Linked DNA regions of Pelodiscus sinensis. The protein of the gene in region 2 purifies or fractionates together with the protein of the main gene of each other region. This does not show direct contact. Links are inferred from orthologs where the notes say so. Each region holds a gene or a part of one and is shown on either strand. Other genes may lie near its edges.

Region 1 (6,965 bases), on a different chromosome or scaffold from region 2:
GGCAAGGAAGGCAACACTTCAAAGTTAAAAACAAAGAAAAAAGATAAATTCCAGGCTGCCTTTGTCCATCACAACGCAGGAATAAGGCACAAATCCATTTCTGCTCTTCTCTGCAAGTCGATTCTATGCTGCTTGCCTAAGGCCTAAGAGAGACTAGCTGATCTGTGGGGTTCATGCTCTGGGAAGGAGGCAGAGCAGAAGCAGGGATGAGAAAGAACCAGCAGATTCATGGCACTTTGAAAGAGCTGGGAGGGAGGGGAAGAGTAGGTTTTGTGGGGCTCCAGTGCGTGAGGTGTGGAAGGAGGGGGCAGAGTGAGGGTGAACAAGCCACAGGGGGAATAGGTTGCCCACCACTGGCAATCATTCCAAGACAAAGGAGGGCCGTTTATGTGGCCCACTCACTAGTCTTGCTTACCCCTCGCGGAACTAAACTGTAAAAACTAACCAGGACTTCCCATCTCCCATACACACATCACCCACTGGACCATTTTTGAGTTGTAAGCATTCCAAAGAAAGTCTTATCTCAATGTGTCCAGCAGCATGGGCCCGCAGAGCCAACAGGCTGAGGCCAACAGTGTGTGCTTCAACCCAGAACGAGAGGCTGAGAAGCTCTGAGTGAAAAGCAAAGCTTAGAAACAGAAACTTGGAGGAGAGGTCTTCAGCCCAACCCTCTTGGCCAAGCTAAGGTCACGCTGCAGTCTCTCAACCACCCCCTTCTTCTCTGTCGTTGTCACAGACTGCTCCTTTTGCCTTGGCTACTGCAATCACTTCCTGTCAGGCATTTTAGCACCAACCGTATTCCCTCCATGATGTTCAAACCATTGCTGTCAAAGTTCGCTCTCACACCCATTCCTCTCACGAAGTTGCCCACCATGTGTCATCCACTGACTCCCCACTGCATTGTGCTCCACAAAGTTCCCGTCCTCTTACATCATGCTGCCCTTTCCTGCATCTCTGCAGTGCTCCTTCATACACCCTCAGCTCATCTGCTCTTACCATCTGTCATGACCATGAGGTTTAGCCAGCAGCCTGGGGACTAAAGAGTTAACTATATCACTTACTTAACCAGGTAGCAGGCAGCCAACAGAAATGTAGGTAGAAATTTCAAACGGGGACAAAGGAATTTTTGGTTTTTCCCTCCTTTGTCCCAGAGCAGTTTCTCTCCAGCTACTAAGGGGGGGCAGACAAAATGTCTCTCTCCAAAAAAAGAATCTTCACTATCTATAAATCCGTTAGGTTTTATTGTTTTATGGTTTGGGAATAGGAATCTGATGTCTGTGCATTTAAAAATGGGTTTTCCTCTACTTTATAACTAAGTTTTGGCCCATGGTGGAATCCCCCGTGAGTATATTAATTGGTGACTTATCTAATGATTATGCTTATATCAGGAGTATTGTGGTGAAGATAAAAGCTCTCTTTCCTTTTTATTAACCTGGTATTGGTTAATTTTTATGTCCTGGTTTTACGATAGGGCTGAGATTTCCCAAGTGATCTCTCCTCTGGCTTTCTTATCATTACTTGAGTGGTGGAATCGGATTTTTATCCCCAAAATCTAGGTTTCTAAGATTTTTGGGGGAAGCTTTATACCAGAGCCTGGAAAGATAAGGTACTTTTTGGGTACTTTTGCAGACCTACTGCATTTATCATGCCAGAGTGGAGATTATGCCTTGGCACCCTTTATCTCTTCTTCACTGATATATATGCCAGGACACCTTTCTCCCCTCATTCCAATTCCTCCAGAAACCTCATCTTTGATGTGCAATCTCTGAGACATGACAGGAGAGTAAGGCAGCCAACAAGTAACAAAAGGAATTAAACAAGCAGCTGTGACCTGATCAACCTCACAATCTTACCCAAAGGGGAAGGAGCGTAAAGGAAAGAGGAGAGGGTGTTTATACTGCTCACTTTGTTATGCTACACCCATTCCTCAGAGCAAAGCCTGGGTCTTTACTTGGTTGTGGCATAGCAAACATTTCTAGGAGCTTGAAAAAATAAAAAAAAGACAGTAACTCCACCCTTAGCTAAGGAGTTACTGGCCACATGCAAGCCAATCGTGTAACACAGTTGGCCCCACTCAGACCCTGGTACAAGAATGCCATCATACATCAGTCGAACAACTGATGAGGGCCTGATCCAGCCCCCAAAGACCTCAGGGGACAGTGTCATGAACAGTAACAGCATGATCCTCCGTGAAGGAAGCCGACAAGGATCAATGCTGGCCCACTTCAATTCTGGTGTGAGGGAGTAATGAATGCAATGCTGTCCCCACCCTTTCAGGTCTCCCAGCTACTCCCGGGCTAACAATGCAGAACCAGTTTGGAGAAGCTGTCACGGGGAAGCTGGAGGTTCTGCCAGCCGGGATGGAGATGACTGAGCACTCGCAACAGGGTGCGGGGCTGGGATAAAGCATTTCGGCTGGACCTCGGTATCCAACCCATCGGTGAAACCGCTCGTTTTAACCCATGTCGCGTCGTCAGTAGGTTCCAGAGTTAACGAACTGGCTAAGCCGTTCGAGAGGGCACAGGGGCAGGCGCTCCAGTCGGAAGTGCCCCCTCGGCCTCTCCCCACCGTGCAGAGGGGCTGCTCCAGCCTGCAGGCCGCTGCAGCTCCCCCCGGCTAACCACTCTCAGCCGCGTGCGGAATAAGTTTTGCCCGGAGGGCCGCGCGGATGCGCACCACCCGCCTCCCCCCCACGCGCCGCGCGGGCTACCTGGAGGGCCATGGCCTGCGCCGCGCCGGGCGGGAAGCCCAGGCGGCCCCGCGGCGGCCGCAGCAGGCGGTAGAAGTCGGTCTTGCGGTAGAGGAAGCCGAAGAGGACCCGCAGGAAGCCCTGCACGTTGCCCACGTGCTGCAGGATGCCCAGCAGCGCCTGGTCGTACGTGTCGGTCATGGCCGCGGCCAGGTCCATGGCGGCCGGGGGAGGCTCCTCAGGCCGGGACTCTCCCGCTGCCAGGGCAACCTCCCGACAGGCACTTCCGGCCCGGGCCCGCAACGGCCCCGGCTACTTCCGCTCGTCCCGCGCGGCTCAACGCTCCGGCCGGAAACCGAGGCCGTAAAAGAGGGGCCGTTGCCATGGAGACGCTGCGGCGGGCCAGAAGGAGGAGGTAGGGAGCTAGAGCGTCGCAGCATCACGTGACGGATTCAGACGCCATTTTGTCATGTGATGCAGAATGGGGGCGGGGTTCCCGGGATTCCCTGCCCGAGAGGGGGCGGGGATTGAGGGGCTAGGGGCGGGGCGTAGTAAAGAGGGGGGCAGGGTATAGTAAGGGGGCAGGATTGGGGGCGGGGGCAGGGCATAGTAGGGTTGCCAGATGGTTTAACAAAAAATACCGAACCCCCCCCACCCCATCCCCCAAAAAACGGGAAAAAATTCCGTTGAGAAAAAAGAAAGGGGGAGACCAAAGTTGTTAAGCAAAAAAAAAAAAAAAGGCGCTGTGCCTTTAAATGGTCCCGCACGCCCCCGCCCCGCCAGACGCAGCAGGGGAAACGGTCCCCGCCGGCTTCCGTCCGAGGGAAACAGGAAATACTGGACATTTCACACGTCCGGTAGAACGGACAGTCCGGGCGGAAACAGGACACCGGGCAACCCTAGGACATAGTAAAGGGACCGGATTGGGGATGGGCATTGTAAGGGGGCTGGTTTGGTGCAGCTGGGGGAGGCCAATGGGCTTCCCTAGAGGTTGAGGACCAGACATCAGGTCCATCAGTCTCCACAGGGAGCTGGTCCCGTTTGTTCCACTAGCCCACCACAACCTCCTCTCTTCTAGGCTGCAACTGATCTGCCTCTAGTCCACCAGCTCCTCTTATATAGACCCTCCTGGCTCCTGATTGGCTGGTTCCTCCACAGCCACTCTAGCCTTCTGGGAGGACTTCTCTAGCCTTAGAGCTTGACCTGCCCAGTCATAGGGGCCATGTGGACCCCTCTTCCTCAAGCCCTTTAAAAGGTCTAAAGAGACGACAACCCAGGTGGCAGATACAGATGCCTCTCAGGGCCTTGTGTTCCCCACTGCCCTTACCTCAACTCTTTGAAGCTGGAGAACGTTGGAGTGCACCCTGGCATTGCAGGCTGGCTATCTTGCCATGGCCTTGTGATTTTCTGATGAGCCAACCCAGCTGGTTTTGAGTTTCTTGTCACAGGCAAGTTTAAAAATACTACAGGAAGAGGGAGCAAGGTCTCTTACCCTCTCCCTTCCTCGGCCTCCCACCTCTGATCCCCCCTCCCTTTCGGCACCCACCCCTGCATCTGCTGGGCTTCCTCATACCCTACTGGAGCCCATCACATTCCTCTGGCTCTTCGGCACTGTGCTCCCCTTGCCGCGTGAGAAACCCAGCCCCAAGAGCACTGCGCTGCTGTTGGTGCAGATGCTGTTCTGTGGCACCCTCTAGCCTCTGTCCAGGCGGAGGGAGGGGCACACGAGACACGGGCAGTGAACGCTGCCAGAAGCTGGAGCATGACTGTGCCTGGGAGCAAAAGGGTGTTACACACTGGGGCTTTTCACCCAACGGCATCGCTTGCAAGCCCCATGGGCTGCCAAGCGCTAAGGGAACTCACCTTTCTGACGGTAAATCTGACCTGGCCAGCTGGGTCCACCTGTGTTTCATAGACTCAAACCTGAGAAGCTAAACAAAACCTAGTGGGTGGCTTTGGGTGGGGCTGGACTAAAGCATGTGAACGGGAGCCTGTGAGACCTTGCTCCTGCCAGGCACAGCAACTGCTGTGAACTGGAGCTCTGCAAACCAGAGCATCTGACCAGGCCTGGCCTTCGCTGGTTCCTTTGTGAGCGGCCTGGAGAGGAGCCTGGCAGCGCATTGATACCATTCGTGGATGGTTTTGTGTGGGGAGGTGTGACGTAGTGGGGGATAACCTGCTAACTCTCTGGCTGCTGTCTGTAGCACCACCGAGCAGACAAGTAATGAGTCACTATGCAAAGAGGGTATCCCAACTGGTTTGGCCAGCTGACCCCCATGGAGAGGAACAAAGGAAGGTGGAATGCTGCCCTGGCTGGGGGGCAGGGCTGGAGGAGAGTGAGTGAGTTCCTGGCTGGAAAGCAGGGGAGAAGGAACTGGGGAGAGGGCTGGGATTCCCCTATCTCAAGGGGGGCACTGAGGCCTCTTAGCCCCCAGTTCCTGTAACCAGATTACATCTGTGCTGTATCCTGGAGGAGCAATAAACCACCCTCAATTCTACTGGCTGGTGGAGTCTGTTTGTGCCATTTCGGGGTGCAGGAGACAGGGGACCCCAACGCGCCGTCACAGGAGGTGACAACCGACAGCAAAGCCCAAGCTTCAAGGCTTCTGTGGATTGGGGTTCCATGTCCCCACACCTGTGAGCCTGTGTCTCCAAACTGGCCTCGGGGCACCCCCGTTGCACTGGAACGCATCTTGTCCCAGCATGGGACACTGTCGCATGTCCGACGTGCGCTGTGGTTTCTGACGGCGTTAGCTTGCGAGCTGTCAGGCTTGGGCCATTGAGAGAACTTGGCTGACCAGCCTTACCCTGACAGCATGTCTAGCAGAGGCATTCTGAGCTCAGCACGGGTAAAAGAAGTTTATACTGAAAACCTGTGAGCCAGCATTTCTTAAAACGAGCAGAGACAGTGTTAGCTTTATGCGTCAGCTGAGCCGAGCCTCAGGCCATAGGTGCCCCAGGAGAAAGGTCTGGTTTTAACGTTTGTTAACGTGTAGGAGTCCTAGGCTACATCTAGACTGCCACTTTTTTCGGAAAAAGTTTCGCACATTGCGCTCCACATTTGCGCACCTTTTTCCAGTTGGTTTTTCGGAAGAGGCTTTTCCGAAATGTCGCCCCTCTACACAGGGCCAAATGTCGGAAAAACCTCCTCTTTCGGAAGAGCCCTTCTTCCTCATAACATGAGGAATACAGGGCTTCCGAAAGAGCGCATCTGCTCTTCCGCAAAAAATGTCGGAAGAGCAGACGCATTCCCTGGCTCCCTTTGGTATCCCAGAAAAACTCCGTAGTCTAGACATAGCCCTAGAGCAGGTGTTTAGTGACGTGTTCCCTGGTCAATGTAAGGTTTAACAGGACCAGCTACCGTTCCAATAGAAGGTGCCTGTCTACACTAGTTCTAGGACGAGTTAGCCAGTCGATCTTAAACAATGCCAGGCAAGCCCAGTGGGGTGAAACGTGTGATTCTTCTGGGAGAAATGCAACTGGGAGATGCCCACCCCCCTGGCATGGAGGAAGGGGGCTCCGGAACCAAGGGATGCATTCCAATGGTCCCCAACCTTTTGGGGCTGCCGGGCGCCCAGGGGCAGGGCTGGTCACATGCCGGGCAGCCGGGGGCGGGGCCGCGCACGGGCCTTGAGGCGAGGCCATCCATACGCTGCATGCCTGGAGCTGGCGCCACCCATGCGCCACTCTCCCGGGGCTGGCGCCGCAACTGTGCTGCACGCCCAGGGGTGGGGCCTCCCATACGCTGCACGCCCGGGGCCAGAACAGCCCATGTCCCGCGCGCCTGGGGGCTGGGCCATCACCATCCATGTGCTGCATGCCCGGAGCTGGCGCCTGTGCCACACGCCCAGGAGCCGGCAGCCCCATGCGCCGCGTGCCCGGTGGTGGGGCCGCCCATGTGCTGCACGCCCGGGGCCGACGCCGCCAATGGCTAGGGGCCAGCCCCGATCATTCAGTGGGAGCACAGAAATGGCCCGGCGGGCGCCATGGCGCTGGCAGGCACCACACTGGGGACCACTGCATTAGGAAGCTGCCACTGGGAACAGGAACAGCTGAGAAATGTGTAAAGCTGATGACCGTCTGCTTGCAATGCAACCTAGCAACAGCTGCAGGGAAGGCCAGGTGGTTTTGGGGCTGCGCTGGGGAAGGCCTGCACTCCTGAGCCTCAAGATGAGGGTGAGGGTCCCACACATTCTGTTATCTCGTAGCAGGAATTTGACAGAAAACACACACACACACACACACACCCCAGAACACACACACACCCCAGAACACA
Region 2 (7,347 bases):
GGCTGACGCGTTTCGGCATGGAGCCCCGTCAGCCGGACCGGAGCTAAATATCTCCGTGTCCTTAGGGCCCTGGGCTGGGGCCCGTGAGTGAGGGCGGGCCCGGGCCCCCCTCTCCCTCCCCCTCCCAAGAGGGGGAGAAACGTTTGAGCTAGGGGCCGGCCGTGCGGCGACATAAGGCACGGCCGACCGCCCGAATTCACCCCCGTGAAAGCGGGAAGACTAAACACCGAGTGGGAACCAAGCCCACGCGGGGTGTGGGCAGAGGACCCCGAAACGGGGCCGGCAGAGACGCCCCTGTACAGCCATATACAACAGTTGGTCATGGAACTTTTTTGGAAGAACACAGAAGCGCTGGGTGCATATCTTTCAAACTCCACATTCTATTACTGATAGTATATGTGTCCTATGGGATGCTTTAACTAGAGATGTGATATTGCTCTGGGGCAAGTTAAGCCAATGTAAGGCCATGTCTATACACAAAACTTGTACCAGGTTAACTGTACTGGTATGGTTGAAGTGGTATAACTGCCCCTATTGGGGAGGCAGTTTAACCAGTATAAAAGTGCTTGTAACTGGTATAATGTATTCCCGTAAGGGGAATAAGCTATACTGCTATAAAGATGTGAAAGGATTAGATTTTTAGCAGTTAAGTGTTGGTAAGTTGCAGATCCGTAGGATCTGTGCTATGCTATTGCTTTTAAACAGTCTGGTGGAGGAACCTTTCAGTGCACACCCAGGGGTCTCACACTCTCTTCCTTATGCTGCCGAGACTGAGTATCTGTTTCATGCTGTGAGCTCTGCCAAAAAGCCCAGTGGAAACAGACTTCTGGCCAGGGACTTCTATACTCTTCAGGGACCAATGCACCTCAGCAAGTGGCATCAGGCAAAAAGTCCTTGGGTTAGCAATGAGAAGCACAGGCTGGAGCGGTAGCAGCCTCTTCCCGTGGGAGGCAGGGGTTGAGGCAGAAGTGACAGAAAACTGGGGGAGTTATGGCCCCCCTCGTTACTAGTCCCCACCCACCCTGTTGCCCTGCCTCCTACCCCCTGCCCAGGTCGAAACCAAAGCCTGGCAGTACTGGGTGGTGGCTGCTCACAGCCAGTAAGAGCTGCTCAGGCAGGTGCAGCTAGCTCCTGGATCAGCAGAGCCCTTGGGGAGCAGCAACCCTAGGAACAGAGCCCAAGAAGGAGCAGGTCAGTCCAGCCCAAGGCCTTCCATCTACCCTTGACAGCATAATCAGGTGGATGGGGATATGCACTGGGGGCTTCCTGGCCAGGCTTACTTCTTCACTGTTGCTGGAGCTGGGCACCAGAACAGCAGCCATGCTGACTCTCTCCCCTCTGTTGGAAAGCTGGAGAGCAACAGCTGCTATGTGGCAGTGACAGGGGGAGCAAGGCAAATGTTGGGGTAGCTATAGCTCAAGCAACCTCCTCCCTCCAGAACCGCTCTTGAGCACAAGTCAATACATAGTTCATCCTGGCCAACTTCCACCCCGCCAAGCGGCTATGCAATCCATTTCTCTCTCTCTCTCTCTTGCTCTTTGTCATTCCCGGGGAGAGCTGCTGTTATCTCAGCCATCCACTGCCTTTCAGCCCATTGGCCTTCTGCAGGACCACAATGGGTTCACATGCTCCATTGTTAGGTGTTAATTGTTTAGTCCTTGGGGTCCTCCATCTTCCCCTCAGGACGTGCCTGATAGATGACACTAGCAGAGTGCACATGGAAGTCTTTACGCACCCCGCTGCTCTTTTGCCATCCCAAAACCTGTTGTTTTGAAACTGGAATGGGATCCTGCCATCACTTCCTCCCACTTACCTTCCAGGGACTGAGGAGGGCCAAGGCAGTGAGGACGCTCTGTTGCGCAAGAAAGCTCTGATGGCCATTTTAGCCATAGGGGTTTCTTGCGCAAGAAACCCCTGTTGCCCATTCACTCTGCCTTCTTGCACAAGAGGGCTTATCCCTCGTGGAGAGAGGAGTAACTCTTGTGCAAGAAGCCCTCTTTTCCGACGCTTTCCTGTAAATTTACTTGCGCAAGAACATGCATGCAGTGTATGTGATCTGCAAGTTTTTGTGCAAGAACTGCCGTTGTTGTGCAAAAAGCCTGCAGTATAGATGTAGCCAAGGTCTTTTGCAGACCCAAAAACCTTTTCCTGTGAGCCTTAGATGTCAATTCAAACTTAAGCACTACAGCCTTTTTGAACTGTTCAGAGTCCTCAGTACCAGCTCCATCATAAGAACATAAGGCTACATCTATACTGCTCCCTTGTGAAAAAGTCTATGCAAATGAAGCGCAGATTAGCATATTGCCACACTTCATTTCCATAATTAATTAGGGGCTGTTTTTGTGCAAGAGGCTTTTGTGCAAAATGAAGCTGTATAGATGGCTCCTTTTTGTGGAAAAACCCCCTCTTGCACAAAAGCCGTTCTTCCTCATGTTTTCAGCCATCTACTCAACTCCTTTTTGCATAACAGCCTCTTGAGCAAAACCATCCCCTAATTAATTATGCAAATGAAGCACGGCAAGATGCTAATCTGTGCTTCATTTGCATAGGCTTTTGTGCAAGAAGGAAGCAGTATAGACATAGCCTAAGAATGGCCATACTGGGTCAGACCAAAAGTCCATCCAGCCCAGTATCCTGTCCGCTAACAGTGGCTAATGCCAGGTCTGTATGCCTCTATCACCTTGGGACCAAGTAAGGGGGTGACAACAGTGATGCCGATCCATGGACTCAACCTAGTTCAAACTGCAGCCTCCTCACTGTGTTTGAAATAGTCATCTATATCCCACTCTTCCAACACAAACTTTAAATTGGGGCAACAATTTGGTGCGATGGTCTCTTCCATCAGTCAACATCGCACCTTTGGTTAAACAAGTACCAATTTCAATTTAGACCAAGCCCATATGAGTAATGCTTTGCATCCAGTCCTGTCCCATGGCTAATGTCAAAAAAGTAGAAGGGATGATGTTTCTCCCCTAACTCTTCCAAAATAAACATGTCTCCAATTTGGGTGCAGGGTGCCTTGGCCTGGACAAACATCCGAAAAGTCACATGACTAACAACCAGGTACATGAATTCAGACCTGCTCACAGCAGAGGCTTGTAAGGCAGGTCAGTCCGTAGCGAATCGAACAGCGGGTGCATTTTGCATTGACTATTCAATTAGTCGACAGGGCACTTCTGCCTTTGAAGAGTAGCAAACGCCCTAGCGCTGTTGCTTCCCTTCAGAGGCAAAAGCACCAGGTGGAGCCAGGGGTCAACCGGAGACTCCTGCTGACCCCAGGCTCCATGCAGTGCTGCCACTTTGGAACTGCATGGGGACACCCCAGCTGGTCCTGGGCTGCCTGTGGTGTGTCAAAGCAGCAGCACCATGCGGACCCCGGGGGTCTGACCCCAGGCTCCAAGCAGGGCTGCGGCTTTGAAGTTTCCCCTCCTTTTCCCTCCCCCCTTGTTGCCCCTCTCTGATACAGGCAGCTAGGGTGGGGGAAGCGCCTAGTCGACTGACTAAGCAGGGGTGTCCAAACTTTTTTCAAAGAGGGCCAGATTTGATTAAGTGAACATGCGTGAGGGCCGACCATTTTGCCTGACATTCTTTGAACCATTAAAATTAAATGCAAATTAACTATTTTATGCAAAATTTATTGCAAACGGCATACTTTTCATTTCGTCACATGGATGACAAATCTAAACAGGTGTTAAATCACTCTGCCTTTCATATCTGAAGGCCAGATGAAAAAAAAAATCCAAGAAGCTGAAATATATGTCAGGAACATTGTAAAGGACATTACATATTATTGGTAATAAAGGTTGTCTGTCAACTTTTAAGTTTAAAAAATATGAACAGGAACATAACACCAAGTATCCGTGTTGTGTCCAAATATATTTATAACTGATTTAGACCAACGGACATGAACTGAGATTTTACAATGTGTTCATCTCAATACATATGGATTCGTTGGGGGCCATAAAAGATAGATATTGCCAAATTACCTGGGGGGCCGTATTAAACCGGAACACGGGCCGCAATTGGCCCGCGGGCCGGACTTTGGACATGCCTGGACTATGGGATCAGCATTTGCTTATGGGATAGTCCCCCAGTCCTTTCCCTCCCTGCTCCCAGCCTGGGGACTTGCTTCCCTTCCCGTGTGGGAGCAGAGGCAGGGCTCCTGCCAGAGGACAGTGGGAATTAGGGGGCACGGCCACACTAGCTCCAGCTCCACAGGCCCTGGGCGCAGACCAGAGGCTGAGGGGCGGCCCGGCTCGCTCGCCACAGGGCGGGGCCAGCTCGGGGGAGCCAGGCCCGGAGGCGGGCAGCGGGCTCCGCCTCCCCGCCAGGCGGGGCCGGGCCGCGCGAGGAGATGATGTCAGCCGCGAGCCGCCGGGCCGGGAGCGGCGGTGCCGGTGCGGCGAGAGCGGGAGTTCGGACGCCGCGGTGGCTCCGGGCGGCGGCGGCATGTCGGGCCCCAGCGCGGTGAACGACCCCCAGCACGCGGCCCGCCTGCTGCGGGCCCTCAGCTCCTTCCGCGAGGAGAGCCGCTTCTGCGACGCGCACCTGGTGCTGGAGGGCGAGGAGATCCCGGTGCAGAAGAACATCCTGGCGGCCGCCAGCCCCTACATCAGGTGCGCGGGGCCGGGGCTCGCCTCAGGCGGGAGAGGGGCGGTCCCGGGGCTAACCCCTCGCAGGCCCCGCTCCCTCCTCCGCGGCCGTTCAGCCTGCGGGGCCTGCCAGTCCTCTCCCTCCGCATTGATCCAGGGCGCCTGACTGGGTCGGGTTTGTGTCCCGAGGTTGGTTACTCGAGTGCCTGGCCCATCGCCGGGCAAAGGCTGGGGGGAGAGGGTTATTTTGGGGCCGTTTCGGGGGGGGGGTGGAGGGACTTTGTGCACGGAGTTTGTTGACATTATCCAAGCAGAAATAAGTAGGTTGGCTGCTGCGCCCATGTGGTCATAGACCTCAAAACCAAAGCAGCCCGGCTGCGTCTAGACTGGCATGATTTTCCGCTAGTGCTTTGAAGGGAAAAGTTTTCCGTTCAAAGCATTGGTGGAAAAGAGCGTCTAGATTGGCACGGACGCTTTTCCGCAAAAGCATTTTTTGCGGAAAAGCGTCCGTGCCGATCTAGACGCGCTTTTGCGCAAAAAAGCCCCGATGGCCATTTTTGCCATCAGGGCTTTTTTGCACAAAACAAATCTGAGCTGGCTACACTGGCCCTTTTGCCCAAACGGGAGCAGTATAGTATTTCCACAAGAAGCACTGATTTCAGACAGTAGGAAGTCAGTGTTCTTGCGGAAATTCAAGCGGCCAGCGTGGACAGCTGGCAAGTTTTTCTGCAAAAGCAGCTGCTTTTGTGGAAAAACTTGCCAGTCTAGACACAGCCCTCGTGTTTTTGAGGACCTCTCTTTACCCCTTGATGTTTTGGAGATCTGTTGTAAAAGGCTGAGATGGAAGGTTCACAATCCGCTGTATAGATATGCTGTCAGTGAAATTGAAGGCGTTTAATACTTTCCTGAGTGTGTTTTTCTTACCTTTCCAAAGAGAGAGCTGCTGCAGTCTAGTAATTAAAACACACAAAAATACAGTTCGTTTAAAAAAAAAAAAAAGGTTTACTTGACCAACTCTGCAATTCAAGCTGATGAGAATTATGTAGCGAAGTGTTTGTAGAATGGTCTAAAATGCCTTTGGAGGAACAGTTATATTCTGTCAACTCATGTCCTTGTCATGAGGTTATTTGTTAAACAGAAAATGTCACAAACTACTTAACACTCTGAATACATTTCCCAAACCTGAAGTAGATCTGTGTGTGAACTGGAGATCTTGCCTCGCCTACCAACAGAAATTGGTCCACTGAACGATAGTACCTCACTCGTTTTGTGTCTTCCAAACTACTTAAGCAATATTAAGGGCATGATTTAAACCAGTGGTTTTCACATGATAGGGCGTGACCCAGTACTGGATCTCTGGGCCTTGTTGCTGCGGGGTGATTAGTGGGGCTGCCAAGGCAGGTTAGATAGATGATGCAGACGTACTCGGCACAGACCGCTTTATCTGCTTAGGCAGCAGCATCTGCCATGATGGAGGCACCAAGAACAACATCCAGAGTAGACTAAGTAAGGCCAGAAACGTCCTCAGGAGTATGAACAATGTATAGAGAGCTACATAGTACAGTGTCCACATCAAGCTTAAGCTATACCAGAACTGTCATATCAACACTACTATATGGCTCAGAGTGCGACCATGCCAAGCTCTGCTCCTTTTACACCACCAGCCTTTGTAAGATACTTCGCATCTTTTGGCCAAAAACAATTTCCAACCACAACCTGCTCCTGCGATGCCACCAGGAGAACATGACCACTATCATTATGAGAAGATGCTGGAGATGGGTAGGACATGTGATCAGAAGGGAGGCAGACGCCATTGTAAAGATAGCACTTCACTGGACGCCTGAAGATGACGAAAACATGGGAGGCCCAAGACAACGTGGTGGCGTACTGTTGAGGCAGACATGAAGAGAATGAATTACAACTGGGGCACACTGGAGAAAATGGCCAACGACAGAAAAAAATGGAGAACCTTCATTGCTGCCCTACACGCCAGCGGGCAAATTAGACATTAACTAACTAACTAAGGCAGGTTTCCTGTCTGTCTTGACACTGCAGACTGTGTTGTGCCCCAGAAAGGACCAGCATCAGGCCTGCCTCCTGGAGGGATGGGGAGGCAGAAGAGCATATACTGGGCACTATGCTCTGCTTCTACCTTGAACACTGATTCTGCACTCCCATTGGCTAGAACCTGCTGCTGGCTGTTTCTGGGGTGCATGGCCTGAGGTGTCAGGACAGGCAGGAAGCCTGCCTATTGCTTTAGCACCCTTGATGCATCGCTGACCGGGAGTTGCTCAAGATAAGCCCCTCATGCCCCAGCCCTGACCCACCCTCAAAGCTGAAGCTCTCCTGCTCAGCACCACCTTGGACCCAACATTTTAGTCAAATTATGTTGGGTCACAGACATCAATTTTCTTCAGCTGGGTCAAGAGGAAAAACATTTGAAAACCACTGATTCAGACCAACAAGCCAAGAAAACTAAAGTTAATATTGAGGGGCACGGAGATTATGAAAGTAAAAGACACTGTTTCAGTATGGTTTGTTCTCAAAACTATGCACACGTGATAAGTAATTTCATCTTTATAAATGCTGGATGCATTATCTGTCAGATGCCCTCAGCAAAGTCAGTGCTCTAGAATTAGTTATGTGCCTTTTGTAAATTCATAAGACAGTTTGACTAGTCTAGAGCTTGCGAGCTAGTCATTGTCCTGCTTCATTGTTCGTTTAAAAGATTCCTTTTTAAAAGCTTGATTTACCA

The links. Proteins that work in one complex are often made in the same cells at the same time.
Region 1: the proteins of GAN (region 2) and NUDCD3 purify together in Homo sapiens (co-immunoprecipitation; 3 studies listed by BioGRID and IntAct, counting the BioPlex papers as one, with this or other methods). This does not show direct contact. The link is inferred for Pelodiscus sinensis from reciprocal best matches to the Homo sapiens genes GAN and NUDCD3.

What each region holds. Positions count from the first base shown.
Region 1 is NC_134738.1:4,746,224-4,753,188, forward strand, and holds the start of NUDCD3 (nudC domain-containing protein 3), read right to left. Parts: upstream 3,016-6,965; 5' UTR 2,909-3,015; coding exon 2,711-2,908; intron 1-2,710.
Region 2 is NC_134722.1:11,332,121-11,339,467, reverse strand, and holds the start of GAN (gigaxonin), read left to right. Parts: upstream 1-4,327; 5' UTR 4,328-4,449; coding exon 4,450-4,616; intron 4,617-7,347. UniProt on the Homo sapiens protein: Probable cytoskeletal component that directly or indirectly plays an important role in neurofilament architecture.